Linked DNA regions of Mus musculus. The protein of the gene in region 1 purifies or fractionates together with the protein of each later gene. This does not show direct contact. Links are inferred from orthologs where the notes say so. Each region holds a gene or a part of one and is shown on either strand. Other genes may lie near its edges. The genes, in order: Phip and Cul4b.

Region 1 (16,192 bases):
TGGGTGTTGGGATGAAACGCATAACGAGGGCCCACACTGAAAACTAGCATTTAAATGATGGTTCCTCAGCTGACACACAGACAGTAAGATTTGAAATGAGAATACTCTTATATGAAGCAAGGCAGATAGGAGCAAGGGCCAGATGCTAGAGATGGGCTTGGGGTTTCCATGCCAACTCACTTTTGTCCGGAAAAAGAACTTCACAGAAGGAGTACACAGGACCAGAACTTGTAATAGATACTCCTTTCTGTGTTTTTAAGAAACCCTTTAACAAGTAAAGTCCTATTGAAATAGTTTATTAGTAACATGGGACAAGCAACAGAAAAGGAAAAGAATTGGATGCCAAAGGAACACACAAACTGTAGTGATTATCGTCAGAAAAGTGCCTGGAATAGTTATTGGAGGAAAATATCTTCATGACTGAGCCACAGCTGATTTCCCAAGTTTGCATCACAAATTACGAACAAAGAAAAAAAAAATTAAGGTAGTACAGAATCTGAACCTAATAATAAAAAAATGCATTTCCTAATTTAAGTTTTGTAAAGGGGTGAAGTTAGACAACACTAGTCATAAAGAAATTCAAACCTACATAAGTTCTAGAAGCATCGCAATCTGAGAATGAGAGAGAAGCAAACATAATCAGTAATTCCTCTAAGCGAAATCTACCATCTGAAGATGCCTGGTTTGTCTTGACTTGGCCAAGCATGTTGGAAAAGGAAAAAAAAAATTCTAATGACAATCCATGCACACTTGCATAAAAGAAAACACTGTGGCTTAGATTGCACTTGTTTATGACTATGACAAAATAGAGAAAGGAAAGAAAAAAAAAAAAGAGGAAAAAGAGGAGGGATGGAAGGAGAGAGGAAAAGGCCTTGCTTTCCTGATTTTTTTTTTCTTTTTTTGCAAAAATTGTTCCCAGCCTTTCCTTTAACAGCCAGAGCAGTTGAAAGTTAGAGATATGGAAGACTAATGTGTGATGCCTCAATTTTAAAAGTCAGGGGCCAGATTCATCGTTAGGTAATTTTTAGAGTTCTTCAGGTAGATCTAAACTGATCACATCAAATGGAAATCGGATCTTCTTTCTCATATGGGATTTACCACTAGAAACCAAAGTCTCAGTGATGAAAGAGGAGGAAAAATTAGATACTTTGAAAATGACTGAAAGTGTAGGGGATGTGGAAATCGGAGGCAAGAACTTACTCAGAAACCCAAGACTGAAGGATTAGATAAAAAGCGCACTGTGGGGACATGCACCAGCCAGGGAAGAAAGAGGAGAGCTTTCAAGAACCAGGAATTTTCACTTTGATTTTTTTTTTTTTTATGATTTTTAAAAGTTAAGGAGATGTGCTGAGTCAGGATGAGGGCAGTAGAAAAAGACAAGGAAGTTCTTCCTTCTCACGTGATACTACTTTCTTAATATTTCTTAAGATAGTCCCTCAAGGATGCCCAGCAATACGACCAGCAGTCGCTGTGGAAAGGAAAGAGCAAGGGTGTTCTTACTACAACGTTCTGCAGAAAGGCTGTTTGTCTATGAAATCACTCTTGTTCGGTACGTGTTTTCCACACCTGAATGTAAGCATGAGAATTATGAAGGTAATAGGATTTGTAATCCCAGAATCTAATTATAAGCTTTTCATAAACTTCAGCACACATATCTCAATAGGATAATGTTGGTATTACTCTGTAGGTGTATGATGGACAGCCTAGTGCTGGCTGGCCAGTAACGTTTCAGTAGGAGAAAGCAACAAGGGTCAGGGGAGGAGGCCTTGCAAAATAGGCACACGTATGAAAACAAAAACAACCTGCAAATACTCTATAATAGGCCTCCTATTTTCTAATTCTGAAATTGGGGAGAATATTTTTGATTAACCGAATGGGTTAAATCTAATGTCATCTCTTTAAACTTCACTAAAAACTAAAATTAATTCTCAATTTTGAGTTAGACTTGACTTCTACTGGCAATCTGAAAGCTTAGGTCTTATTCCTTTGAACGGTTTTCCTTCCTCACCAACAGGTCAACTTTGGTGTCTTTGGTTCCTAGTATTTTTCTTATGAAGACATTTCTCAATATTTGTTGGATAAGCCTCCCTCCCTTCTCCCCAAAGTTGATTTTCATTACTTGGGGGTCTTGAAGTTTAGGAATTAAGTATTTATAAATACAAGAGATTTCTTAACTCTGGTCCTGAAATCCTGTCTTTAAAAAAAATCACACCAATAATACTATATTTTATTTAAAATACCACCAGCAGCAACTTTCCGGAGCCTGGGCATCCTCCTCTCCATCCACCTTCCTTTTCCAGTGTTCTCTCTGAGTCCAGCCCCCTCCCTGTCCATCAAACACCTTGCTAGGATAATACATGCCTGCAGACTTCTGTATGTGTTCTCTCCTCTGGAACAGCCTTTTTCTAAGTCATCTACTGTGCTGCTCTGGATCTGGGAGGAATATGTTCTAAAACTGTTTTTCTTCTGTAATATCTAACTGTACTGTTAAAGTCATAAAGTGGTTTTAAACAATGTATATGGATTTATCCATGAAAGTATGTATTTCTTTTACAAACTAACATGCAACAATTGTAAACTACAGGGGTTACTTAATTAGGAGGAAAAAAAAGCTTGAATAAATTACTAACATTAAAATAAGAAAGGGAACATACGATTATTGGAATTTAGCTAATATTTGTTACAGATTATAAGAAAATGTACTACAATTTATGGGAAAAGTTTTCAGTGATCTCGTAAGGGGGAATCATTAAATAAAATTAAATAGCAAAACCAAAACACCCCCCCCAACCCAAACAAACCAACAACAAACATGTTATCAAATGATGGAGTGGTTTACTAAAGTACATTGACCCTGTTCTTTCTGAAGGTATCAAAACACTATAGCTGCTCATGAGATTCAGATTTGATAGTCACGGGTTGAAGAGACAATAGGGGGTGAGAAGAAACAGATTGGCATGGCAGAAGACGCAGAAGTGGAGAGCATGCCACAGCAGTGTGGATGAGCAGAATATGCCCCCCAAAGGCCCTTATGGTAGCATGCTACATTTTGTTCCTCAGGGCAAATAAATAGGTTTCTGCTTTATTTCACTGAGTGAAACTTTTTGCTCTGAAAGTAGCAAATGGGCAGAGAATATATAGCTGAATTGTAGTTGGCTGGCACAGCAGGAGCAAGAAAACCTGGGTTCACTGCTCAGCCTTACAAAGTATCAAAACAAAACAAAACAAAACAATGTAATTGCTCACCTAAACCTCATAAGGGTAACATAATACCAGTCCAGAACCATGACTTACAGATAAGGTCAGCCCGGAATCCAGTTTTAGCTTTGTGTCAGACACCATACTATAGGAGAGAAATCAAATTTTATAAAAGTAGTAGAACTTTAAAGTTTATAATTAGTGTCCATCTTATTCTAGAGAAGACGTAAATGGCAGAGTTGATCCAGTATGGAATTTCACAGAAACTTGGAAAAAGTTTATAATCCTTCTAAAGAGACTATCAGATAAAAATTAGTTTTTGCTTTCAAGAGTTCTTTTCTTCTTTGATTTTGTTTGTTTGTTTACTTGTTTGTTTTCTGTTTTTTTTAGCTTCTTAATTAAAATGCACTGAGAAGTACTTTTTAATGGTATTTTTTGGAGTACATAAAAACCATAAAGGACTAGAAAGGGGTATGGATTGAATTTAAACTGTCTTTATAGAGAAACAAATCAACTGTGGGAAGAACTATGCACACCTCTGCTTTGGGAACAAAATACAGGATTTCTAAACAAGAACTTGTATTTGATAAGCATAGACATTTTGCATACACATGCACAATAAACGACTTAGCAATCTCAGTTAACCGAAATATTCTATGCTTGATGTTAAAGAAAGCGAAGTGATTTGGTTTTGTTTTTTTCAAAAGATAAAAGTCAAAAGAATGGACTTAGCAAGATGCAATTTAACAACTAGGGCTAAAAACAACACATTTTTTGGACTGAAAGAATTAGAGAAATCCTAATTTTTGTCAAGCACTCTTTATATTTTACGAAAAACAACCATAGGAATTAATTTAAAGGCAAGCTTACAACTGTTTTCAAAAGAAACTAAAAACATTGTCAAAGTTAGCCAAAATGTTAGTAATGACATGTTTAGAAGGAAGCAGGCTTTCCTTAAACAGTTTTTTATTTTTGTTTTCAGTCTCAAGAAAAAGCTCCCATGGCTTCTGCATGGAAAACATACATGGTATCATGCTAGCCTCCCATGTCTCCTAACACCTACAAAACTTTATCCAGATACAGTTTACATTACTTGCCAAAATTTGATTTTTACCTCTCAAGGGCAAAACATCTAAGAGGAAGAATTAGATTAGTGTTGCGTGCAGAACCAGCAAGCCTCAAGTAGAATTTTTAGTTCTCAAAATCTGTTCATTTAAAGACCTTCTCAATGAAGTACCTAAATTATTTGAAGGACATAATGCATTTTAAAAAGTTAAGATAAAACAACATTAGTCACATAAATAAATACAATTGCAAAGGCATATAAAATATGTTTTATGCCTAATTATTCAGAAGCAGGCTACTTTACCTAACATTGTAAGACTAGGATTACACGTTTTAAAAATGCAAACATGTCCAGATTCTGAGGCTAGCCACACCAGTTTAGGGGCAGATCTTATAATACTGTAGCATTAGGACCAATCGGGGTAACCTCTTATTTTTATTGAGTTACAAAAGGCAATTTTACATCCATGATTCCAAAGGGGGTTGAGACGGTTTCCTCGTGCTCACATGTGTGAGAATGTCTGGTGTTTTAGTGCTCTTGCAGTACAGCCTAAGGCGGCTGCAGCATTTCCCACTAGGAAGGCAGGGAGCTAGGAGGGTGCAGGGCTTGAGGAAACAATCCCGGAAAACCACAATCCAGCTTCTTGGTCCTTACCTCACAAATTACCTTTTAAAATCAGACCCATAAAATGCAGCTTATTATCTAAGAAATTCAAAGAGGATCTTTTGTTAAGGATTAACAAAAGAATGACTAGCCTAATTCTCTTTAAAAGGCCAACCTTTAAAAAAATTGAACTCTCAAAGTCTTTTTGGAAAGTGCTTAATTCATCTGGAGATAAATATCACTCGGTGTCCTTGTTTTTTAACAAACGGCCTTTTCCATTGTTTCCATTAATTTCACCCATATTCGTTTTAAAAATAACAAGGCCCCTATCCTCATCAGCAAAACACAGATGAACGATGTATCATATAAAACCAGTAATTACATTAGGATTTACGAAAAGATTTTTGTTTCTGCTTTTCGCCAGTTTTTAAGAAGTCTTCCCGTGATTAACTGTAAACAGGAATGGTTTACACCGTAAATTAGAAGCCATTAATTAGCATGACGAAGTCAACTGCAAGATACACAGATAATTTAAATTATTTAATCACTAATCACCTTTGCTAAACTGTAATATACTCTTTCAATAACCTTCGGTAGGTTATCGACCGTGTCAGTAATTTACCTCCATATCAGTTAGAGATAAGTATTAGCTAGCGCCCTTTCCTTTCCTTCAGGTTTATATTAGCCCTTCTTGTAAACACTTTAAAAAGCTTTAAGGTTCTTCACTTCCAAATCCCTAATTAGCCATCACTAGCCTTTTTGTAATAAGTGGGGGAAAAGATGAGCTGAAGTACAAATCTGGAGTTCCTCTTGCCCGTTTATCAAAACAAAAACATTTTTTTTTTTTAAACGAACGCTTCAGGCGATGGTAGTAATAAAAGAAATATGCAGAGGTGGCTTCGGGGAATAACGGGTTTGCAGAACGCAAGTGGCTCAAAAAAAAAAAAAAAAAAAAAAAAGCCCGAACCTCTATTGCAACCCACGGCACTCCAATAAATTACACAACACTTGCCCAGGCTGCAGAAATATCGCAGGACAAGACTTACACGGATGCCAATCCGCAGCATTTATACACATGCACATGGCAAGACTGAAAGCAAACACTAGCGTTCAAGTCGGGCAGGGCAGCGCGATCCCGACTTGGCCCAGCTTGAGAGTGCTCGCTGAGAGTCTCTGTGCGTGCGTGAGAGTGAGCCCAGTCCTCCCGGCATTTCCCCTCTTTGAGCAGTTTTGCTTCATTTGTTTCCTATTTCTGCTACATAGAAACTAACTTCCATCTCAACCCAGCCAGCGCCGCTGAATAGAGCCTGTGCTGCGGCTCCGTGTGCGTCAGATCCCTCCGCGCAGCCGTGCCGGCCCCCTCCTCCCCTCCCTCCCTTTCTCCCTCCCGCCCGCGGCCTCTTTAGAGAAAGCGCCCGCCAGGCAGCCCGCCGCTTCGGCTCCGACATCTCCTCGCGCTGGAAATAAATAAATAAGTGGCGGCCCAGGGCGCGCGGAGCGACGACCGCGCGGGCGCGGGCCTAGGCCGAGGCACTCCTTTTCCCGCGGGGGGCGGGGGCGGCGAGTGCGGGGCCGCGAAGGCGCGGACTCCTTTCTGCGGCGGAGGGATCCCGGCGGAGGCGGCCGCAGCCGGGGCCGCTGCCTGAGAGTTGTTGTTTCCTCCTCCTCCTCCGCCTCCGCCGCCGTTGCTTGAATGGTGGAGCCGAGGCTCGGCTCGTGAGCACACACTGACAGCTACAGGGCAGGCGGCGGCACCGTCCCCGCGTCCCCTCGGCGGCGGGGTGTCCCGCCGGCGGCCCCGAAGTGACCCGCAAACATGTCTCGTGAGAGGAAAGGCCTCTCGGAGCTGCGATCGGGTAAGTCGGGCGCTGCGGGGCCGCCGCGCCGGGCGGACTCGCCCGCGGGCCCCCGCCCCCCGCGGCCGCTCAGCCCGTGTCTCCCCGTCCTTCTCTCCCGCGCAGAGCTCTACTTCCTCATCGCCCGGTTCCTGGAAGATGGACCCTGTCAGCAGGCGGCTCAGGTAGGCGGCGCGCGGCGCGGGGACGGGCGGGCGCTCGCGGTGGCCGCCCGCGGGCGTGGGGGAGGGCGGCGGCGGCGGCGGGGCCGCGGCCCGGGGCGCGGGGGCTCAGCGTCCCCGCTTTGTTGTTGCAGGTGCTGATCCGCGAAGTGGCCGAGAAGGAGGTAAGGGCGCGGCGGCCCGGCGCCGTCCCGCCGCCGCACGGCCTCCCCCGGGCCGCTGCGCAAGCTCGGGCGTCCGGCGGGGCGCGGGACGCGGGGCGCGGGGGGTCCCCGGCGGGGCGCGGGGCGGACTGGGGAGGGGAGCGGCGTCGGTCCGGGCCGGGGGCCGCGCTCACCGGGCGTCCTGTCCCCGCAGCTGCTGCCCCGGCGCACCGACTGGACCGGGAAGGAGCACCCCAGGACCTACCAGAATCTGGTGAGACATTCCTAGCGCACTGCAAAGAAACTTTTCCCCGAGTCGAATAAAAATTGAATTTCCCGCAATTTTTTACAGAGACAAAAACTTGGCCCCAGAACGGGAAAAGCTGCAAAGGCCACGGGGAGGGTTGGGAGGCCGGAGCGGGGGCTGCGGGGGGCGGCAGCCGGGGGTGCGGGCGCCCCGGGGCCGCGGGGTCCGCGGACAATTTATTTGTGATATTTTGTTAATGTGCTAGAAATAAAGATACGTCATGAGTGTTGTGCAGTGCAAGGCCAGAGGAGGAGGGGCCGGCGCGCGTATCCGCGCGGGGGCGCGCGCGCGGCGGCGGCGGCAGCGGGAGCGGCGCAAGCCTGGAGAGCGCGCTCGCCAGCTCCTTGCTTGCTCTGCACGCGCGGCCGGCTCAGCTTTCTCCAGCTCCACACAATAGCTGGTGACTAACTGCTCCGAAGTGGCATTAGCATTTCACAAGAAGGCCTTTGAGCCGCGGAGGAACCTTGGCAAGATTTTTTAAAATTTTTTTTCCCCCTTCTCCTCTGTCTTTTGTTTTCTGTAGATTCAGACCCAGATTTTTAATTTTATTTTTTTTTAATCTTTGTTTGGTTGGAGGCGTTCAGATAGATATGGTAGTCACCCAGCGGCACATTGTGCATTATACAAACAGATCTGCCGAAGTATAAACCTGGAAGTTTTAATAGGCGTTTTCCAATTTTGCAGATTCTTGGGGGATATTACCTTCTTTTATTAAAAGTCATTTATAGAGGTCATTGAAGAATTGTGGGTTTTATCTGCATAGTTGCCGTGGGGTGGACCTTGGCTTTTAAGTTTTTGTTTATATTGAGATGTTTTTCTTTAATTGATTGAAAAACAATGTTTTTATAGTTGGTGAGTTTTCAAAGGCAATAATTTACAAACAGTTGCTTTCCATACGTGGAGCTGACACGAGTATGGTGAATGGTAAGGTTCTCTTAGTTTACTTGAGTAAAGGAGCTGCAGGTTTCACAGCCTCTTCTTTGCCTAAGAGAAGTTGATACAGTTGTTTGTGTGAGTGTGCTGCATAGTCAGTCTCACCAGGGCCCATTGAGCAGTTGAAATTTAGGCAGTGCACTGACAACAATGTTTGAGATCAGTTTCTGACTCTTCGAGGTAGTTGTGATTACTAGTGCTTTCAGGGCTGTAGGGTTAGGCAGTTTTAGTAGTTCAGAATGAGTGTCTCTGAGGGCATGGCATGATTGTGATAGCTTTTGCTTGGTTTTGAATATGAGTCGCATAGCTTTCGTGTGTGCATTTTATGATTTAATATAAACCACTGGTTACCGTGTGACTGTTAAGGCCGTAGAAACCTAGTGGAGGGTGTTTTCGTTTCCATGCTTCCAAGTTAATTTTCAATATCGAATTAGGGAAGTTCAGTCAGTTACTTGGTCCAAAGTGATTGAAATTTGAACTAAACTCCCGGGTTTACTATTTGCAGTATTGGTAATTTTTACATTTATGCTTTTTACACAAATCTTCAGTGTATTTCCATGCCTTTCTGGCTGTTTAAGAAGAAAACAACTCTAAAAATACTGTTACAATGATACAGCTTTTTTTTTTAAACCACACTCATCTTTTCCTTTCTTTAAATATCCCACAAATCCCAAGTCATTGAAAATGAAAGTCTTGTTAACTTAAGAATCTTTAAGTAATGCTATGTTTTTTTGAACTAAGCAACTAATAGTGTTTTTGACCAAATAAATGCTGGGAATGGTTAATCAGTGTAGGAATATCACTTTGTTTACTGAAATTAATTTTAGAGGTGGTTCATAGGCCCAAATAGTAATAAAATGAAGTATTTGTAGTCAGTTTTTCAAACTTCATAAATTGTGGTTGTCTGTATGTTATTTATCAAAAGCCACCTGTTTTGCTTGAAGGTGATTTTTCTTGTGAAGAGGTTTTTACCTCAGCAGTTAACGATGGCTTTACTCTAAAGACAGGTAAAATTCTCACTGGAACTTGTGTTTGGTTCCTGCCCTCTTATTTACTCAGCATAGAACTGCACTGGACACAGGGCACCCTTTGAAATGCTTTCACACCCAGTAAGCTGTATGCTGAGGTGTGGGAGAGTATGGGTTGACTTTATGTCACTTTAATTTTGATTTTAGGTAGCTTTAAAACATTTTGATTGTCATGTTTTTGAGCATATTGGTACATATGAAAAATTTGTTTTGGTAAATACATGCATAGTTGCTTAAGTATTCTGTGTCTTAATTCAGTTTCATGACTTAAAAGTTTTTCTTTTTGTACATCAAATTGAATTAACAAGAATTAATTTAAAATTATTTGGTGACTAAAAATGTAGTTTCAACTTCTACTTGAAAATGGTTTGGAGTATTAACTGATAAACTGGATAGTAATATGAGCAGAAAGATACATGTGAAATTGGAATTTTCTAGAAAATCTTTAGGAAAGAGAAATGTTTGTACTTAATGAGTTTAAAAATAATATCAACATTGATAGCTTCTAAATAGAATTCCAATGTCATTCAGTTTTGGCCTAGAGGAAAATGGAGTGTTTAGTGCAGTTTTGAAAGTTTTGTAAGTTAGAAAAGTAAAATTGACACATTTATTTAATATATGATTGAAAAAGGGAATTCTTAACAAGCTGAAAATTTTGTGTTTGGTATTAAGAATGTGATGAATTATTAACTGTGGGAATACTTAAAACATTCTTGTAAAAGTGAATGGAATTTGATGGGATAATTGTTTTTGGCACGATTTAAGTTTATTCAGACTTTATTTGTTAACCTAGTTTTTTTTTTTTTTTTTTTTTAAAGTAAAGGACATTTTTCAAATATTCGCCAGATCTCTTTTAGATGAAGCCAGGTATTAGGCCAAAAAAGTTTCTTGGTTTTTAAATTTTATTTATTTATTTTATTTTTGGGTAGCCTGGCCTTGAACTGTGTGTAGCTGAGACTGACCTTGGTTCTTCTGGTGTTCTTGGTTCCACCCCCAGAGTCCTGATTACAGAATGTTTTATGCAGTGTGGGATGTGAACCCAGCAGCTCTGTGCATGCTTTGATGATGAGCAAGCACTTCACAGTGAGCTAGCTACGTATTCACTCCAACCAAATTGTTGCAGATTAACAAGGTTTTTGGACAGTATTTTCAGTTTTTTAAAATGGGATTTCACTCATCCTAGGGTGGTCTGGAACCTGCTGCAGCCTATACTGACTTTTAGTGCTCTGTCTTCCTGTCTCATCTTCCCTAGTTGGGATTATAGACATTAGCCACTTGGCTCATTTCTTACTTGTGTATCTGAATTGTTAGTTTTTTAGTTCCCCTTCCCAGTTGTCTCCTTAGCTGTTTTATTAAAGCAAGTCGTCGAAGCATTTTTACTTGGGATGTGTTGATTACATTTTATTTGTAAGTTATTCTTTTCAGTTGAGTTAATATTTGCTGATTTGTTGATATATAATTTTGCTTTATTAAAAATAACCATATTTCATTTTCTTAAACTGATTGCATGTCGTTAGAAATCTTTTTGTCAGAGTGAAAGAATTAGAAGTCAGGAGGTGTGGACTGTTGTCTTGAAGCCAGGTGACAATTAGCTTGCAGGTGATAGGAACAAATTCTATAATTTATTACTCTTGTCTTGGTTATTTCTAACTGTATGTAAAAACATGGATGGAAAATGATCTGTAAATATGATTTTGAGTTAGAAATAGCAGTGCTTTGTTTTTTAAGTGCTTAGCATTCATTTTGGTGTTTAACTTTCCAAAATGGAAAGTTAAATCTATAGAAATCATGCCAGTTTGGAAGTCGAATAAATGCTTTTTATAGTACCATTCTTTGGTATTTGGCCTACTTTGGTTTCTGTTCACAGAAAACAACTTGGGGGGAAAGGGTTTATTTCCACCTAGAACTCCCAAGTCACAATTCATCTCTGTGGGAATTCAGAGGAACTGAAGTCACCTGGAGGCAGGAACTGAGTCAGAGGTCTTTGGAGGGAGGCCACTAAGACCTCAGTTTGTTGATTTACTCCCCCAGCTCAGCTACTTTTCTTATACTGCTTAGGCTGCCCACCACCCACTGTGAGTTAGCCCCTCATCAATTTGCAATTAAGGCACCTCACATATTTAGCCTCAGGCTTCTCTGACTGAGGAAAGTTCTTCAATGAGGGTCCCTTTGCCCAGATGTCACATTTACAACTGAGTTTTTATAATACTTCTTGTAAAGATGAAGATTTTTGAGAGAGTAGCCACATTGTAGAATACCTTTGTATTGTTGAATAATTGTTTTTCACTTTGTAAGTAAATAAGTAAGTTACTGGTAACTTCAAATTCAGAGATGAATAGAGGAGCTATTAATTGAATTTAATTAAGTATATGCCCTAGGTAGGTATACATATATTTGTTATGAGTATGCTGATTAAAGTGAAAGTTATTGGATAAAATTTAGAGATAAGCTTAAGGAAAGTGGTAAGGTAATAGATGTCTTCTTTAAACTAGGAATTTCCGGTCTGTATGAGGGTACTTTGAAGACTTGAATATAAGTCTTTTCCAGTTTGGGAGAGAGAGCAGTTGAGAAGGTAGTTAGGTAATGGTAGCATTATACTGTTGTTTGTTTGCTTGTTTGTTTTGTTTTTGTGCATGTCTGGTTTTTTTTCTTTCATTTTTAAATTCTTTGAAAATTTCATGCATGTGCGTGATGAATTTTAGCTAATTTTTGAAATTGTAATTTAAGAGTTTCAATTAAATACCAAGCTTTACTTGGTAGTTTATAAAATTGAGCTTTTAAAATGACCTACAATTATAATGAGGGATAAAATGTGTTAGTAGGTATAAAGGAAATTAGTATGTGCTAAAGGACAGAAACTTCATCTTTTTAATGTATACAGTTATTCTTTTGGTGCTTAGTATCATCCATTTTTTACAAATTAGGTGCACTTATAAAATTTATATGTGTACTTACTATGTGGGTATGAATGTGTGATTGTGGTGGTCAGAACAAACTTGGGGTGTTCTTCAGGTACCATCCACTTTTTTTCCCCAGATAATTTCCCTGGCCTACAACTCTCACAGTAGGTTACAAGCACCAGGGATCCACCCACCTGCTTGTCCTTCTAGTGCTGGAGTTATTGGGGATGCCTGGTATTTTTTAACATGAGTTTTGAGGACCAAACTCAGTTCTTTACTAAGTTTATGCCCCCAAACTACGGAGATTTTAAATGAAATAAGTCCACATGAGATTCTCAATCCTTATATTGCAAGGTGATGTGGACATAAAGGGGTAGTGGAATTGTACCTTTGCTAACTGCATGGCGATGGTTTATAGATGACAAATTGACTTTAAAAGTCTGGAAATAGTAGTTGGTGTAGGGTTGGGTTTGCTCTTGGCTACCTTAGAAGCAGTAGTAAAGGTAGAACTGTGTGGGAGTGTAGTTTTCCATAAGGAAAGCATTTCTATCTGAGATACATGTACTTAGAGCTTTCTCAGCCTAGCTAATACTTTATTTTAATATTTATTTATTTATTGATTGATTGATTAATTATATGTAAGTACACTGTAGCTGTCTTCACACACTCCAGAAGAGAGCATCAGGTTTTGTTACTGATGGTTGTGAGCCATCATGTGGTTGCTGGGACCTGAACTTAAGACCTCTGGAAGAGCAGTCGGTGATCTTAACCGCTGAGCCATCTCACCAGCCCCTAATACTTTATTTTAAAAAGCTACTTTGAAACTTTAGAAAGTACTGCTAATGTACTTTTTAGGTGAAAAAAAAACCCCTAAGACATAGAAAAAAGGTCAGTGACTGTAAAACAATAAATAATTTCTTAAGTAGGTCTATAGAAGTATTTTGCTGTGAATTTGGCTGACTTGCTGTGAAACAGCAAACTTTAAATATTTGGGTAGTTGCGTTACCTTGAACTAGGCCTGGAGTTCTATAGTTCCTGTGGCTGGGCATTTACATAGTGTGAAGGAGGTCCTGGGTTCAATTCCCTGTTCCAAGAGAAGGAAAAACAAACAAGCAGAGGAGGGAAGTCCTACCCTGAGCGGATTAGAGACAAATGAAGCCTTTTCTTTTTCTGATAGAGAGAGATTGAGAATTAACGTTGACTCCTTGTAGTCAGAAGTCTGTGGCCTTTAAAGCCGTAGTCCTTTGTTCTTAGACTAAAGAGAATGTCTTCTAGACAATTTAATAATTCAAAAATTGTATTAATTCTTAGGTTAGTTTTAGGTTAAATATTGTCGTTTTTTACCAATTTAGAGGTTCTTTGTAAAGATAGGCTACAAGTTTTTGTCCTTGTTGATTAAATCTGGAAATTGTTTATCTGCAGGCATTTTTCTCTGTCCTAAGTTTTGTTATTATCTATGTGTTTTGTGGCACTTCAGCATATGGGCAGTTTGTTTTGAGCAGTGCCTAGTCTAATGGGAGTTCATTCTTAGGAACAGTTATGTGCAGTTCAGGATTCTCAGAACAATATGCTTAATACTAACTCATGTGACCTCGATTAGCAGACAATTTCTGTTTATTTATTCTTAGGAATAGTTATGTGCACTTCAGGATTCTCAGAACAATATGCTTAATACTAACTCATGTGACCTCGATTAGCAGACAATTTCTGTTTATTTTTACTGACTTCAGGAAGATATGAGCACATTGGGCATAAAAAAGTATCATTTCAGTAGGATTTTTTTTCCCCTGAGACAGGGTTTCTCTGTGTAATCCTGGCTGTCCTGGAACTCACTCTGTAGACCAGAGTGGTCTTGAACTCAGAAATCCACCTGCCTCTGCCTCTGCCTCTCCTCACCCCCTGAGTGCCCAGCCAGTAGGAATTTTTAAGTTACTTTTGTAATTATATCTAAAAGTGATAAAGACTGTCAAATTTAGGAAATCTGAAAATTACAATGTTTTCAGTTTCATATTTTGTTTGAGAGAATATTTTGTTGACATGAGTAAACCTTTTTGAAAAATTCTTTTGAGAAGTCATTTTAAATTAATATGTAAAAGCAAAAGTTTATAAATTACTTTGCAATTAATAAGGTATTTAGCATGTGGATTATAAAAGGGTATAAGCATTCTGTGATACGGAGAAAATTAAACTTTTATTTGTGGAATTTGAGAATATAAGGTATTATAAGTCCAAAATAATGAATAGTGGCCAGTCCTTTATACAGATTTGAGACCTTTTGGTTCCCGCTTAAGAGGTAGTCATCATTTGTCTCTAGGCGTGGTTACCTTTAGTGACGCAGTACATATGCATGTGCAGTCTTGGAGCTTTCACGGGTGACTAAGCTTTGATATTAGGAAAGCTAAGCACTAACGTAGTCTGGTATATCCTCTGCTTAGTTTAAAATGAAACTAATGAGATTTGTCAGAACATTTCTGTTGATAGTAGCATGTTAAAGACACAGTCCCAAAGGAAGTCGGGTTCTGCTCCAGCTAGCATGGCACACTGGGTTTCTGGCATGGGTAGGGAGGAGATAGATAACTTGGGAAAGGTTATAACAATGCAAGAAATGACTACTGTGAGCTGAGTCAGTTTGCTTCAGTTTACTTTTGGATGGAAGGCAGTTTGGAAACGTAAGACTTGACTGTCTCTAAATGAGTACTGAGACTGACACATAACGAAGCATGAAATGGGATGCTCTGGTTTTACATGGACTGTTTTAAGAGTGAGCAATTTAAGGGTTTTTTTTCCTATCCATTAGAAAGTAACTTCATCAGAATAATAAAATTTTAGATTATATTCTTAACATATTGAGAGATAATTTATTTTACAACTTTTGCTTAGTAAATACGATTTGATTTTTAAAACTCAACGTGTTACTCTAAGTCATTTTGTGGTGTTTTAAATTAATTCGAATAGAGTACCCCAACTGTGTATGGAGGAACCTTTAAGACTGTTTTACCAAAACAATCAGATTTTAAATAAATAAAGTTAGAAATATTTGTATTTTCTTTAACTGACAGATACTGTATTGATAAAACCAGCTGAATTACCTAAATGTGTTCTTATGGTTGACTGAAATCTTTAAATCATTCATGTTGTGTTTCTTTCCAAGTACTTTATAAGTAGACTTCTAAGATTGATTTTGAGGGTTCTGTATTTATTGTGAAGCATTTTATAAGGAAATCATGAAAATCTAGGAATTCACACTACTATTTTGTAAATAGTAGTTAATCTAATTTAGAAGATTTGATTTTACTTATTAGTTGTAAGTTTATAATGCTCAAGCTTTTGTGACTGGGGGAGGGGATATTGTGAGAAGGCAACAGTGCTGTAACCAGTGCTGGGGGCTGCAGACCTAAGCTGGGTTAGCTCATTCCTGTTTCTGAGGTAGATTTAGTTAGACAGATTCACTACTTTTCTTTACCTATGGCATCGGTGCAGTTTCCTTACATTTCTTTGCCATTCTTTAATCTTTACAGTTAAATTATGAAGAATGGCATAAAGATTCCCCACCCCCACCCCGTGGAGAAACTAAATAAACTTGGGATCCTACTTTCAATACTACGTTTTTAATAAAATTTTATATTAAGACACTTGTGGGCTCATAGGCAAGAGAAAGCAGAGGGAGCCTATGCACACTGAGGTCCACTGAGAACATTTTACAAAGCCATGGTGATGATACTGACTTTGAGTGTCAGGATCCCAGGTGTTCCCACCCTGGCTTACTTGTGTACGTGTAAGTGTGTGTGTGTGTGGGTGGGTGTGCGCCTGTGTGTTACATTCTATGTGATTAACTTAATTTTTCTCCTAATAAATGACTTATATGTAATGCATAACTTGCAGTATAGTTCAAATAAAGTTGACTATTATACAACAGGTGCAATACCAAGAACATTTCATTTATCTAAGACCATAGCCAAGTACAGGGATCTTGTACATTGTCCTTTTACAACTAACC
Region 2 (16,092 bases), on another chromosome or scaffold:
GCTCAGTGGTTAAAACTGCTCTCCCAGAGGTCCTGAGTTCAATCCCTAGCAACCACATGGTAGCTCACAGGCATCTGTAATGGGATCCAATGCCCTTTTGCAGTTTGTCTGAAGACAGCTGCAGTGTACTCATAAAATAAAATGTAAAAAAAAAATCTTTAGTGAAGCATTAGAAAAGGACACTTTTAAAGTGCACTTATGGATAGGGGTTCTGGAGGGGGGACCCAGCAAGGGGAAAACATTTGAAATGTAAATAAAGAAAATATCAAAAAAAAAGTGCAGCTATATAAAGTCCCAGTATCCTTGGGTCTTTCTTCTTTATAAGCTATTTATTTTAGCAATTTTATGTGAATGAAAAAATGAAGTATGTATCTTTTTGTCATGTGTAAAATTATACAGGGTGGTCATTAAAACAGACAAAAATCATACAATGAAAGATGTGCTTAGAGGCTGGAGAGATGGCTCAGTGGTTAAGAGCACTGACTGCTCTTCCAAAGGTCCTGAGTTCAATTCCCAGCAACCATATGGTAGTGGCTCACAACCATCTGTAATGAGATCGGATACTCTCTTCTGGTGTGTCTGAAGACAGCTACAGTGTACTTACACTAAATAAATGAATAAAAAAAAAACAAAAAAATGTGTGAGACAAGACATGGTGGTACACAGCTATAATCTGGAAAAATTATATGAAATAGCTGCTCAGAAAGAACTGGGAAGTTAACTCTAAATACTGTGTACAGTCAAACAGTGTAAGTAGACAGCACTTAGAGCCCAAGTCAGGAAGATCACATTATTTATGGACTGCTTGGGCTACACAGCAAGACTCAGTTGCAAAGACATAAAAGATTTATGGATATCAGAACATAAACTTATAAATCTTAGATACTGATGGCTACATAGAATAAACTGGTTTCCTCCCCTGTACAAACACACAGACAGACACACACGGTAGCAAAGATGTCAAGGTTACGGCAGAGTCACCATTCAGCAGACTCAGGAACTGAATTAGAAACCATTGAACATGTGTGACTGGATTTTTGGTTCAGAACAGAACAACAAGCACCACAAGAAGCATGTCTTCTTTTTCTTCCAACTTCACTCTAAAGTACTTCTATACTGGCAGGAAATTGCTGACTTTGAAAGTTTGAAGGAAACATATTTACACGTGCCCTTGATTTTTCTAAAGTGGAAATAATTGTCTACTTTGAGAATACTGGAAAATTTACTGTCTTTTTACCATAACCTCCTCCACAGTATCTCAAAACTACCAGTAAAATAACAAAGAGAAGTATAAAAATAATCAAGTATGAATTGTCAAATGTGAATTAAGGAAGTCATTAGGAAGATTTTATGTATTCATTCTAATTTACAATTTTTTCACAATATTTCGAGTTTAAATATCTTCCCCAGAAACATTTTTTTAAAATAAAAGTTTTATTGGAGAAAAATAGAACCACCACACATACACAGGGAAGAGCACAAAAATTCAACCGATACAGAACAACTGAAACTCATAATAATCCAATGGAGTTTGCCATTACTTGTCAGTTTCATAAACAGTTTCCCTTAGTAGTCTGGCTAGCTTTTCAGCTGAAACACCGTCAAGTTTTTAAAGAATTAAGAACTTCAGGACAGGCACCCACTTTCAAGATAATGAAGGTGGTATCAAGAGCGTCCTAGTAGGAACAAACCTACCTACAAATTCTTTTAAGAGTAACTAGTGAGTGGTGTAATAGTCTCCATATCCCAGAGACCAACACAGGGATGAATTACAACACTGATGTTGATGATCCAGTAAACATAACAGCCACATTCCTTGTCAGAAGAGCTCCTGTAAGGAAATCAGGGAGGAGCTGGAAAAAATATACGAAATAGCTGCTCAGAAAGAACCGGGAAGTTAACTCTAAATACTGTACATAGTCAAACAGTGTGCAAGTTGATGCATTAGAGAGAAACAGGCAACTTAAAAAATACAGATAGCTAGCCACAGGTCTTTGAGAATTCAAGAAAACAATAGCAGACATAAGAGCCCCCAAGTCTTCGGAGCTGAAAGTATGCCTAATTGCTCCATAAAGACAAAGATATGTGCTAGTGGAGAAAGCACTGAAGAAGTTCTAATGTAAAAGAAAACACAAAAACAGTCTGCTTCTTTGCCATCATCCATTTCCTCCATGGAAAGAGAAACCAGGAAGCAAAGCAGAGTCCTCTGGTGAGGAAGAAAAGTCTTTTACTCACAGTTTGAAATTGAAAAACAATACTTTCCTTACTTTCTGTGTGAGACCAATTTGGAGACACTTCCTGAACAGCAAGTGTCCAATGTCTATAAAGAACTCTTAAATTCAAGCAATTAAAAAAAAAAGGACTACAGAACTTGAAGTTTTCAATAGGGAGTGTGCAAGGAAGACAAGGGAGAATCATATGTTGAGTTTCTCCAAATCAGGAGGCGCATGACAGTAAAAAAAAAAATCATTTAGTAGAAAAAACTGGAATGCAAATCCTAGGAAACCTCTGACAATTGACGATCCACCCAACTTAAAGACGGCAGCACGACCCAAACATTTAACCACTGAAACATAATGAAAAGCAGCTGGTACATTTTTACTCCTGCAACTTATAAAACTTATTTGTTGATTTTGGTCTCCTGTGATTTTCATACTGTATTCAGTTTTAATAAAAGGACCTGGGTTTTCCCCTCTTGCTATGTTCTTGTAGTACAAGACGATCAGCAAATTTTCTATTTTAATAAGTTCCTGTTAATCAGCACAGTGAATGTGGGGCTAAGTCTTATGTACACATCCCAGAGTCCTAATGGGAAACCTTTAGGATGCGAATATATAAGGTACGATGGAAGGAACTGTCACCCTACTTGAAAAACTTGTTTCCAAATAAGATTATTTCCCCTTCAGTGTAACAGAATGCCAACAACAATGAAAACTTACTTTTCTTTTCAAGGGAAACCACAAAATGGGTAAACAACCAAGTCAAGGGTGGTTTTTCTATTTGATAAATACATCCAGAACTCTGTACAGTAAATAAAATTTGCATGCAGTTTAAGTATCTTTAAATGACTTTTAGGCAAATAAACCTTTTGCTTTATTAATGATGTATAAGAATCACCCTCCCCCCTTTTAATGGCCATAGGGATCTCTTCCCCAGTTCCAAAAGGAATCATGAAGACCCAGGTACTTTCTTAAAGAGTTTTCTGCACATCATACTAAATAACATGCATAGAATTCAACAACATTCTTCTTAAAAGTTAAGTATTACTCTTTAAAATGGGTATGTTAACCACTGAGAAAAGTCCACACAACTATTCCCATTACACTGCTTCATTTGGTCATCAGAAGTATAAAAGAAGTCAAATAACATGAGATTCAACAAATTAGTTTATCCAATGGCTACAGCATTATGACAAGTTCCAAGGCCAACATTCTATGCAATATAGTTGTACTGATTTGGATTTTCTTTATCTCTTTCCATGTAGTCCCGGTCAATGAGGGATTCTATTCTCTTCTTAAGATCAGCAGGCTGTAAGGGAAAGCACACTTTCAATGCAAAACTCAGAAGCACCAGCTTAAGTCCATCCACCAACATCCCGTTAAAAGAGAACAAAGGCCAGAAGTGACTGCACAGAGGCAGGCAGATCTCAGAGTTTGAGGCCAGTCTGGTCTACATAGTGAGCTCCAGGACAAGCCCTGTCTCTAAATTAAATAAACTTAAATTAAATGTAGCTGGAGCATTGTAGCATACTTCTAAAATCCCAGCAAGTAAGAGGCCAGAGCCAAGAGGATTCAGAGGAACACCTGCTTGGGGTACACAATAAGACTCTGTCACAAACAAACCTGAAATTAAGTAAATAAACAATTAACACATGAATTAAAAAGTGTAAAAGAAATTACTATATGACCTATATAAAATACTGGACATACTGGCATAAGCCTACATAATCCTTGCTACTTGGGTAGCTTGAGGAATGGCAATAGTGAGTTCATGAAAGTTGGCAAAAAAGTCAAACAAAATGGCTGGGGCAGTTAAGGCTTTTACCAGGTGGTACAGTACTTGCCTAGCATATGAAAGGGGCCTAGGTTCTACTCCCCAATACCACACATTCACACAATTACAGGAAATTTGGGAACGTATCATATTAATTCACCTCTTTATGTTTCTGGTTTACTATGAATTTTAATTTATTTAGTTAAGTGATTTGGACCTCTGAATCTTGTAGTTAAAATTTCACTATGACATGAATTCATTTAGAACTGGGCATGGTCAAACATGTCTATATTCAGACTCAGATACAAAGAGAACTGAAGGCCAGCCTGGGACGTATTAGATAGACCTTGTCACAAACACCACCAACAAAGTCTCAGGGCTTCTTAGCGTGTACTACTCTTGAAGTCCAGCTCTGGCACCAATGCCAGGGTTCACAAGTGCCTGTACCTCCAGCTCAAGGTCGAACTGAATAGAACTGTCCACACATGGAAATGCCTCACAGAGACACACAATTAGAAATACTATCTTTTAATAAATAGTCTTGCATTGGTAATTACACTTATCTCTTGAATGAATGACCCTAACATAAATAAGTATCTCTACATCACTTACAATACCTGAGATAAAAAGGAAAAGAAGCCAGGCATGGTGGCACACGCCTTTAGTCCCAGCACTTGGGAGGCAGAGGCAGAGGCAGGCGGATTTCTGAGTTTGAGGACAGCCTGGTCTACAAAGTGAGTTCCAGGACAGCGGGGGCTATACAGAGAAACACTGTCTTGAAAAACTAAAAAAAAAAAAAAAAAAAAAAAAGGAAAAGAAATTGAATATTCAATACAGATGCAAGATTTTGTTAAGATAAGAAGCTTAAGTAATATTGCTGCCTCAGCTGGTAGCTAAGAGTACATGTCCCTACAGACAGTGAATGCATCTCTTTGGAGTGTGTGTGTGTGGGGGGGGAAGAGCAAGCCCATGGGCATGTTTGAGAGAGGGTCTCTCTTTGTAGTTCTGGCTGTCCTGGAACTCACCATGTAGACCAGGTTGACCTACAATTCACAAGAGATCTGCCTTCCACTGCTTCCCAGTCAGCTACTGCATTCTTTTTCTTTTCTTTTCTTTTCTTTTCTTTTCTTTTCTTATTTTTTTGGTTTTTCAAGACAGGGTTTCTCGGGCTGGCGAGATGGCTCAGTGGGTAAGAGCACCTGACTGCTCTTCCGAAGGTCCGGAGTTCAAATCCCAGCAACCACATGGTGGCTCACAACCATCCTTAACAAGATCTGACTCCCTCTTCTGGTGTGTCTGAAGACAGCTACAGTGTACTTACATAAAATAATAAATAAATCTTAAAAAAAAAAAAGACAGGGTTTCTCTGTGTAGCTCTGGATGTCCTGGAACTCACTTTGTAGAGCAAGCTGGCCTTGAACTCAGAAATCTGCCTGCCTGCCTCTGCCTCCTGAGTGCTGGGAAGTGCTGGGATTAAAGGCGTGCACCACCACGTCCAGCTCAGCTACTGCATTTTTAAAGAGTGTTTTTCAACCTTTGGTTTGTTGAATTCACAGATATGGAATTGATAAAAATGAAGGACTAACTTTGAAGCCAGCCGTAGAACACAGTAAGACCCTATCTCAAAACCAAACCAAACCAAACCGGAAAAAAGGAAGTAAACTTCCATCTAATAGCCCCAGGTTTAAGTATCATGTTGGTTTCAGTATGATCAAAGTTCTAGTTATTTCTGATGTTCTAGCATTAATAAGCAATCTTGCTGTAGGTAAAATGATTAGGTGAGCATGTATGCAGGTGTGGTAATGAGGAAGCAGTTTCAAGTTTGAAGAAGCAGCCTACCTTGTAATAGTGGAAGTAACAGCTACTACAAGTAAAACCTCAATATATACTAAACTCATGATCAAGTGTTTTATACTTCCTATCTCAATAAGCCTCAAAATAATACTATAAGGGATGCAATGGTGGGTCTATGAAGGGGAAACTCGAAAGGGGGATATCATTTAAAATAAAAAAACGAATAAAATGATTAATAATAGAAAGTAATAATACTAGGAGGTATGTATATCTATCAATTCTGAACAAGCTCAGCAAAATTAAGTGACTTATCAAAGTCCAAAGCTGCCAGGAATCCTAACAGCCAGGAGTCTAGGCAACCTCTATCAAATGTGTATCACAGACACTTTAAAATGTTTTACAATTTGAACAATAGTCTAGTACACCACCACATTGTCTAAGCACCTTTGCTACTGAACATTTGTACTGGGCCATGCCCATATTGACCAATTCAGGTTTACTAGAACCACTGCTAGACATTTTCAAAACAAACAAAACGTGCTTTAACATTAAGATATAGCCAGAAGTCTCTGTAACAGATTTTAGTAAATATTTATACAGGTAACCAAGTTTAAGATATAACTCAGTCTAATAATCAAATCTGTCAAATGCCAAGGTATCTCCAGAAAAGAAGATTCAAAAGATATATAATAACTAACTCAAAAATTTCAAAGTCGGGCTGGAGAGATGGCTGAGTAGTTAAGAGCACTGACTGCTCTTCTAGAGGTTCTGAGTTCAAATCCCAGCAACCACATGGTGGCTCACAACCATCTGTAATGGGAATCCGATGCCCTCTTCTGGGGTCTCTGAGGACAGCTACAATGTACTTAGATAAATAAATCTTTAAAAATAAAAATTTCAAAGTCACATTTACTCACTAAACTTTCAAGTACAGGGAGTGGCTTTTGTAAACTAGTTCTCAATTTTGCTAAACAAAGTTCTTTTGTGAATCACATGTACAAATATAGAAAATGAATACATGTTGTTCCAAATGGCTTTAAGTCTTTCATCTTATTTGCAAGATTAGTGTCTAAAAATTAAATGTATTTCCTTTCACCTATAATACATTCAGTGTGGAGACACAGAAATACCTACTTTAACTGGAAATTTTAGCTGATTGTAGACTTCTGAAACAAGAAGATTGTGGCTAAGTGTTTTTCTCATCTTCATAATTCGAACGATCGCAGCATCAATTTGGTACTGTCTGTCTTGAAATACTCTTTCTGTAGTGCTTGCTTGTTCTTCAACCTAAAACAAGTTTTCAAATAAAGTCAAACTTAATTAGGAACAAACTGTATATTAGGAACATAACAATGATACTGTTCTAAAGAGCTTGACTTATCTAAATGAGAGGAAAAAAAAAACTTAACAAACATAGTTCCTTTCTGTTGTCACTACTGCTCTGGACCAATAAAGTAATGCAATACAGAAGAGAAAAATACCACCTTTGAGCACTGGGAAGTAGAGTCAGTTGGTCAAGTACTTTCCCTGCAAACATGAAGATCTATCTCTTAAATTTAGATTTTTGTGAACTCATGTAAAAACAAGATCCCTAGAATACCCGATGGACATCCTGCCAGCCTAATTAGTGAGTTCTAGGCAAGTAAGAGACCATGTAAAGAAACAAGGTAGATAGCGCAAAGGAATAACACTGGAGGTTGTCTACTGGCCTTCCCTAAAACGTAAAATGTTTATATCCACTGATCCAAAAATTTACTTCCATAAATTCTTTTTAAAAATGTTTATTCCTATTTCATGTGCACCGGTCTTTTGCTTGCATATATGTCTGTATGAGTGCAAAAGATCTTCTAGAACTGAAATTACAATTAGTTGTGAGCTGCCATGTGGGTACTAGGAACCTAGTTTCCCTGGAACAGGCTAACTCTTGCTAAGTAAGCCATCTCTCCTCCCCCATGAAGTCACTTTAAGGAAAAGATCAGAGAGATTAAGATTTAGGTATGTTCAAGATTATATAACTTTTTAGCATTCTGTTGATTTTTTTTGATGTGTGTGTGGGGAGGGTATGCCTATTATATGAGTGTGGTTGGGGACATGAGAGGACAACCTTGGGCATTGGAGCTCAGGTACCTTTCTTTCATTTTCTGTTTGGTCTCTCTTATGAGCTTGGAACTTTGTCCTATAGCCTAGGATACCTGGTCCATGAGCCTCCAAGGATCTACTTTAATTTGACTTCCATTTTCTATCACTGAGATTACAGGAATGAGACTTCTTATTTAACAAAAGAATAAAGATATACAACCATTCTAGATATCCATCAATAGATGAATGCTTACTACAGAAATTTATTCAGCTGTAAGGAATAAAATTCTGTAATCTGTAGAATAATGAATGATAATGGAGATCTTGTTAAGCAAAATAAGCCAAATACCACATTTTGACACGTGGAATCCATATTTAAATACACACACACACACACACGACATTAAAAGTAGAAAGGAGTACTGAAGGAAAAGGGAAAACACAAAATAGCTCAACTTCTCTCATAAGTAAAATCTAGGTTTTATTATATATGCATTATGTGTGCGTGTATGCTCGTGCAAGAGATAAGACATGTTAAAGCAAGACAACAATTTGGGAGAAATAACAAAGGACACCAGCAAGTGATGGTGGTACAGGATATAGGCACAGAAAATGTTACATGAAATGGTAGCATTGAGAAAATAAATTGTAAATTTTGAAGCTGGAACAATGGCTTAGCAATAAAGAGGACATGAGTTAGATTCCAAGCATCCATGCATGTGGCTGTTCAAGTCCCCTTCTTACATGTGGGCCCCAGCCCTGATGCGGTGCACAAACGTACATGCAGCTAAAACACTCAAGCATAATACAAGTTTTTAATCTGTAAATTTCTACTATAAACACATTTAACCCAATATTGTAGGACTAGGAGAAAGCAAAAGGTTTACCGTTTCTTTCATCTGGATTTGATTGATCTTTATCCTGAATAGTTTGTGTTTGAAATCGTCATTACAAATAAATTTGTCACCATCTTCAATATCTTTGCCCTTAGGATTTTTAGCCAGAACTCTAGCTTTGCCACAGGCTAGTGACTGCAGTGTTCTTCTTAATTCTCCATCCTCTGAAGAAGAAATGATGGTTAATTATTTGATTGTAGCTTATTAGCATGAGCCCCACATTCAATGTCACTCTTATTCCAACATTCTCTAGTATACTGCTTTGTTTTCCCCACCGTTACCAACACCTGCTCTTTGTGCTATCCAGTAACATTTTTTTCCTACTCATGTTCTAAAAGCATGTATTGTCATCCATGCAGACAACTACCAAAACATTTCCTTTCTCTCAAGTCAATCACTAAAAGGACACTCAACTTGGCTGTTGTACTATCACTTGAGTTTGTTGATATTCTCCATTAACCTTCTGCTTCATTGCTAATGATGGTAACACTAACCTAATCCTATGAAAAGCCTAGCATCACCTTATAAGTCTTCATTCTCCTTCACTGTGCTGTATCTCTAGTAATTTCATTGCTGCTGGAAACATTCTACCAGAAGTCTCTTTTAGGAGTTTATGTCAGAATTATCTTCATAGCTTCTAGACTAGAATCTTCTCACAGTCCAGGTGGCTAGTTCTATCATTGCCAATACAGAGGAGGGGGCTGGAGAGCTAGCTCACCATTCAAGAGTAGTGTCTGGTCTTTTAGAGGAATAAGGGTCAGTTCCCAGCACCTAACATGGTGACTCGCAAACACCTAACTCAAGTTCCAGGAGATACAATGCCCCGTTCTAGACTCCACAGATCCCTGCACATGTGTGGTATACATATACACACACAGGCTATATACAAAAAAACAAAAAACAACAAAAAAAAATCTTTTTTTTTTAAGTACAGAGGAGAGGATCATGTCCTTTTATGTTCAGAGCTCTGATCACAGTGACTGCACAGACTAGAGAACTACAACTGCTTGCTACTAGACAAACAACACAATACAAACCTATCCCAGTAGCATGCTTGATCTCTTCTAAACTGAATTCTTCTCCTTCATTAAACATTAGCAGCACCATGGTTTGAAAAAGAGAGACCTGAAGTTCTTTTTTGCCCTGTTGGAGAAACAACAGAGTTTTACTGTATTTTTTTTTCCTGTTTTTTAAAACACATGAAAAATAAATTAGGAAGCAATAACCTCCTCTAGGGAGACAGTGTTTAATTAGTGAGTTAAGCCCAGGTGACTAGGACTAGACGATTAACATTATCCAAAGTGCTGCATTAGATGGCAGCAGGATGTGTAGTGCGAGATTTAGGTGTGAGTCTACAGAAAACAGGATGAAGGATTATTTGGCCTATTAAAACAGAAAAAAGTAATGAACATAAGTCAGTCCTATGTATCATTATAGACATTCACCATAAGCAGCAAGAAATTACTATTCTGAATGCACTTTTTGAGCAGGGTTTCCCACAGCCCAAGCTAGACTTCCTTTGTAGTCAAATATGTCCTTGAACTCCTTCCTGCCTCTATCTCCCAAGTGGTAGGATTCCAGTCCTGTGTGTCACTACGCCCCACTTTCAAATATTTTTGACTTGATTCAGATCATTCATGAACAGATGCAGATTTTTCCCAATGGATATTGTTTGCCTGTATCTCCCATTCCGTTCTCTAGCTTCTAGCCACATGATTTCCAATAACACAGTATGAACTCTGCATCCACAGGGAAAGAGAAAGACAGAGGGGAGCTTTTCATTTTAGACAAGGGCTAACTCAACTGTTGAAAAGGTAACCATCTTAAAATATACACAAAATTGTAATTACCTATCACTGTGGCTACACCGGTGTCAAGGACACACGTATAAAACAGCAACTTGAACCTTCAAACCAAGGGATAAGCCATAGTAAAGATGAAGATAGAAGTAAAGATTTGGAAAAATCCACTTACCTCTTTAAATTCAGCTTTTAGCACACAGTGTCCCAAGGTTGACTGCCACTGGAGTTTCCTGCCACTGTGCTTGCCTAAGTAAAATGTCTTGAAAATTTCCTGAAGCTTTACCATCTAAAGCAAATAAAGTAAGTGTTTAAGCTGCATATGAAATGTTATATAAGTGTTACCTTTAGCACTATTTTTCTAAAAAAACTACTTAGTGAATGAATGAAGTGGGGTGTGCATGCCATCATGTGCTAATGAAGCTCAGAGGACAACTTTCAGGAGTCAGGTACCCTCTTTCCACTATGTGGGTTCAGGGGGTTGAACTACGAGGTCAAGCTTGCTGGCAAGTGCCTTCACCCTGGGCCACCTCAATGACCTCCACCTCAACTCTTTAACCCCCATCTGGAATACCTTTTGACAGTTTTCTTGATTACCTCCAGTAGATATCAACCCCTTTAAGTTCAGGTTAAAATCTAACTCCCCATGTAACTGCTTGGTGAGCATTACACTCTGATCTTCTCTACCCTGGTATTTAATCATTCCTTCACTCTGGTGACTCGGGCTTCTATACTATACCGACTCCCTTCTCTCACTGCTGCTTCTGCCCACATTTCTTTCACAGGTTCTTCTTTTTACCATCTGCTAAATGTGAGCCTTTTCTAAAGTTGAAGCTTTGCCCTTTCTCTTCCTCTTCACCATATTCTTCCCTTATTGAGGGAAATCTACTCTCTGGGCACCCATAGTTCTTTCCATAGACTTAGTATCTTTCTTTATTCCAACATTCTAGGTTTTGGTCCTGAGTAGGACAGTTTCCAGGGCATGAAGGGATACTCATACATCCATCAATAACGTCTACCAATCCTGCCTTCAGGTGGAATATGAGCAAGATTTTTTCACAGCTAGAAAGACTAAGAGGTCATAAGCTAAGAAACAGAATAATTAGGGAAAATAGACTCAATTTAGTTATCTAGTTGAAAAATGAAGTAAAAGAATAAAATATTAACACTCATATTTTGTTGTTATATTTGTTGACATAAGCCTTTAAAAGTCACATATTTTCAAATGAAAAGCAGGAAAAAATGTGATTTCTATATCTATAGCTTAGTTCTGAAGCAATTTATCTTACCTCTGGCGGCAAATGGACTTCCATAGGCACATATGTTGGCCAGTAACCCATTGTCAGGATATTAACAGTTAATTCAATATTGCCAGGTACATTCTGGTTCTGCATATACTATAAGATTAATACATACACCAAGATTATGAAAGTATATATGTCATACCATAATAATGACTAAATTAAGAATTTCCTTTTTCTAAAAATATATGTAAATACTGACCATCCTGCAAATAAAGGATTATTAAGACTTGAAATGAAGGCTACACAAAATGCTGTACCCAGGTGGCCATTTTGATAGAGCAGCATACAAAAATCCCACAAAACCATCCAAGGTTGATTAACAACTCAACCTCTCACACACGACTGGGCTGTTGTAGCATCTCTTCACCGTTTTTCCCTCAATGCCACCTTTAAACCCATGTTTAGAAACCTTACATGGACTGAAACACCTTGTAGTAACTTGCATTCCTCACCCCACCAGCCAACCCAAGTCTCTGGTTTTTCAAATGATTCATTCCCTATTTGAAGTGGGAAAGGGCAAGGCAAATAAATGCCATCCTGTGGCTGCTGTAAGATCCATGATCCTACTAATTCTGAACTTTGAGTCTTTCGGTTCCATTGACCACCTTCAATGTAGTAGTCAAGAAGTCATTACTGAACCCTTGAGGAGTGAAATCTAATTTGCCATCACTATTGCCTAGTCATTACTGCCACTACTGTTTGAGACAAGGTCTCACTTATATTGCCCACATACTATTTCAGCATTCCAAGCAGCTGAGACTAGTTACACAAATTACATCTGGTTGCTTATATTTTTACAATACTTTAAAACAACCTCCTATTTAGGTCTTCAAAACTATAGATCCAAATTCTCATCCCAAATGTCAAGAGAGACAGAATATACCACCCCTGTCCTTGATCACCTCACCTCTATCCCCATTACAAGCTTTGAACATGTAAAGCCTCCAACTGATTAGAAAAGCCCCGCTCTTACTATCTAAGTATAATTCTTCTAATACTAACTTTAGTGTAATACATTTTTACTTATGTTTCTGTCTTATTCTGGATGTTAATTATGACTAAATCCTGAAGTAAGCTAAATATACTTAAAATTCATTGATGATCTCTTTCCTATACTGTACTGTTTGAATTGCCATGAATTATTTGTTTATATATATATATATGGGCTTCTATTTATCTTCTTCTTCAATACAAACTGCCGCAAGGACATAACTGAAGTATCCTGAAGTTTAAGGGATTAGGTAAGAGAGTTTAACCAGCCTTTACCTGTTTAAACTGAATCATGATATCTTTAGAAAGCTCCATGTCTTTGAACATTCCTTCAAGCTTGCTGGTAAAAGCGGCTCCACATTCTGTTAAAGATGTTTACATGTTTATATTTCAAGGTAATACAACAAAAACTTTACATCAGAAACTAAAACGCAAAACTTAACGTGGGCATCAAATATGATCTGTAACCACTTGTAAGAATGAAAAGAGCAAAACACATGCAACTCAAGAACGGAGACCAAAGTGTGGACACTTAGCCCCTTCTTAGAATTGGGAACAAAACACCCATGGAAGGAGTTACAGAGACAAAGTTTGGAGCTGAAACAAAAGGATGGACCATCTAGAGACTGCCATACCCGGGGATCCATCCCATAATCAGCCTCCAAACGCAGACACTATTGCATATGCCAGCAAGATTTTGCTGACACAATGAGGCTATGCCAGTGTCTGGCAAACACAGAAGTGGATACATTCATCTATAGGATAGAACACAGGGCCCCCAATGGAGGAGCTAGAGAAAGTACCCAAGGAGCTGAAGGGGTCTCCAACCCTATAGGTGGAACAATAATATGAACTAACCAGTACTCCCAGAGCTCGTGTCTCTAGCTGCATATGTAGCAGAGGATGGCCTAGTCGGCTCTCAGTGGAAAGAGAGGCCCATTGGACGTGCAAACTTTTATTTCCCCAGTACAGGGGAAATCCAGGGCCAAAATGTGGGAGTGAGTGGGTAGGAGAGCAGGGCAGGGGGAGGGTATGGGTGACTTTCAGGATAGCATTTGAAATGCAAATGAAGAAAATATCTAATAAAAAATTGGAAAAAAAAAAGAATGAAAAGTCTTACCTCTTAGAGTGCCCTAGTAATGATTCAGAGGTAAACTCTTTAATCCAGGTATAGGATAGTTGGGAATTTTTATACTAATAAACAAAAGAATAATTCTTTGTCTTTAAAACAAGCCAGTAATTATGGCTATCAGCAAGAGGCTAGGACCGTCCTACTCACTTCATGTGTGCGTATGTTGGGTAAGTGTGCACAGGCATGGAGGTCACTGGCTGTACTGCTCTACGAGAACAGACCTAGTCCTTTGAAATAGGGTCTATCATTGAGCCCAGAGCTAGGCTGGTGTCCAGGAATCCTCAAAGATTCTCCTGTTCCCTACCTCTACCCCACCCCTAGCCACTGGAGTCATACATACACGCAACATTTTTTACATGGGTGTCCTAACAACTCAGGTCCTCATGCTTGTGCCTCTTACCCTCTGAGCCTTCCTCCCCACCCCTTCAATTTATGTTTTCATGTGTATATAAAATGATCAACCAAAGCAGCAATCGACGAAAAGAGTATAATTAAGCCATAATTTCCGACAAATATTTTTTAAAAAACCCTGATATTAAAAAAAAAGAATGGCAAACATACCGTGTTTCAGTTTGGACAGCATTGATTTTTCAGCATCTACTGATGCACTCTTGCCAACTAATAGGCGTTTGGCTAAATCTTTCTTATAGAAGGCCTCAAAAACATCTTTACCTGTATTAAATAAAAAAGATAACACTCATGATATGCCAAGTAAAGCTGTAAGAAAATGGCTTTAAAAAGTTTATTACAACACGACAAGTTATTTAATTTTATACATTTTATCCAAGTTTATTAAACCCAAGAACACTGGAGGTCCATGTCTGTGCCAGACATTTCAAAAGTTCTTTTACTATAAAACAAATTAAGACTGTATTAACTATTTTTCAGGGGAAAAAACCTAATACATTGGTTCTATTAGCACCAAAACTCAAAGAGATTAAACAAGCAGTAAAATCCCAGGTTCTTAATAGTGGAAAGGTCAAAATACAAGGCAATTTAGTTGCATTCCTCAACTGTTCTTAATGATCTAAAATATGCAATAAATAAAATAGACCCTGTAGTTCTCAAAGTCTCTCTGGGTTATATAAAAGTTTTTAGTTCCTAAAGGAGTGCTTTCTTTGTTTTGTTTTCTGTTTGTTTTGAGACAGGGCCTTGCTATATTGCCCTGGCTGGGCTCATACTATGTGACCTACACAGCAATATTGCCTCAGCCTCCTGAATTCTGGATTACAGGTCTCTATCACTATGCCTGGCTCCCTAAGTGCTTTATTTTAAAAGAAAAATGTGAAAGCAGTAATCAACACTTACCATAGATAAATCTAAATATAATCATTATTTTATCCAACATTTTCTCAAGCTCTTCATCTGTAGCTTCTTTGTTGCCTGCACGAAGTTTTGAATCCACATACTTAGCTAAAATGGAGAAAAACTATAGTTTAGTGACCACGGGTGTCTGAAAGGTACTGACTACTACACATACCCCAATAGGACTATAAAATACTAACTCTTTCAGTATTTGTGCTATATGTACATGCATTTTATGGCCTCCAACGAAAGGAAGATCAAGTCACCGTGTCACTGTCACAGGGCTAACAAATACTACAAGTAAATGCACCGAATTGGAATCCAGACTGAGTATACTTTCCAGTATGATATGGAAGGACTATATATAGAGCACCGTAGTAGAGTTTCTGCCTACCATGTGCAGGTCTCTGGGTTCAAACCCTCACTTTCAGAGTTAAAAAAAAAAGAGAGAAAAAGAAAAAACTTAAAATGAGATAGAGACAGCGCATAGTGGGGGCTCCAAGTAGCCCTGTGTAAACAAAGTCACCAGAAAACACAGGTACTCTCTAAAGTTTCTATTTTACACAAATGGTCAGTGTTCTTAAACATTACTTTTGTATTTGACTAAATCAGAAACATCGAAGGCACAATTTATAAAATGTTTAAATTTAAATATAATTAGACTTTAACCAAATCCAACTCCATCCTTTCAGATGACCTAGTTTTCTAGGGCACATATACTAGCATCATGAGTGCATGTGTGAGAACCTTGCTTGAGAAACACTGCAACACACCTGTATACTCAGTGAGCCTGTCTCATT

Evidence for each region.
Region 2: the proteins of Phip (region 1) and Cul4b purify together in Homo sapiens (affinity purification with western blotting; 8 studies listed by BioGRID and IntAct, with this or other methods). This does not show direct contact. The link is inferred for Mus musculus from reciprocal best matches to the Homo sapiens genes PHIP and CUL4B.

The regions. Positions count from the first base shown.
Region 1 is NC_000075.6:82,965,783-82,981,974, reverse strand, and holds the start of Phip (PH-interacting protein), read left to right. Parts: upstream 1-6,485; 5' UTR 6,486-6,683; coding exon 6,684-6,723; intron 6,724-6,828; coding exon 6,829-6,887; intron 6,888-7,018; coding exon 7,019-7,048; intron 7,049-7,241; coding exon 7,242-7,301; intron 7,302-15,932; exon of another isoform or gene 15,933-15,942; intron 15,943-16,192.
Region 2 is NC_000086.7:38,530,201-38,546,292, forward strand, and holds the end of Cul4b (cullin-4B), read right to left. Parts: intron 15,401-16,092; coding exon 15,296-15,400; intron 14,660-15,295; coding exon 14,549-14,659; intron 13,218-14,548; coding exon 13,132-13,217; intron 11,959-13,131; coding exon 11,851-11,958; intron 10,851-11,850; coding exon 10,737-10,850; intron 9,906-10,736; coding exon 9,800-9,905; intron 8,927-9,799; coding exon 8,754-8,926; intron 7,075-8,753; coding exon 6,922-7,074; intron 3,529-6,921; coding exon 3,433-3,528; 3' UTR 1,416-3,432; downstream 1-1,415.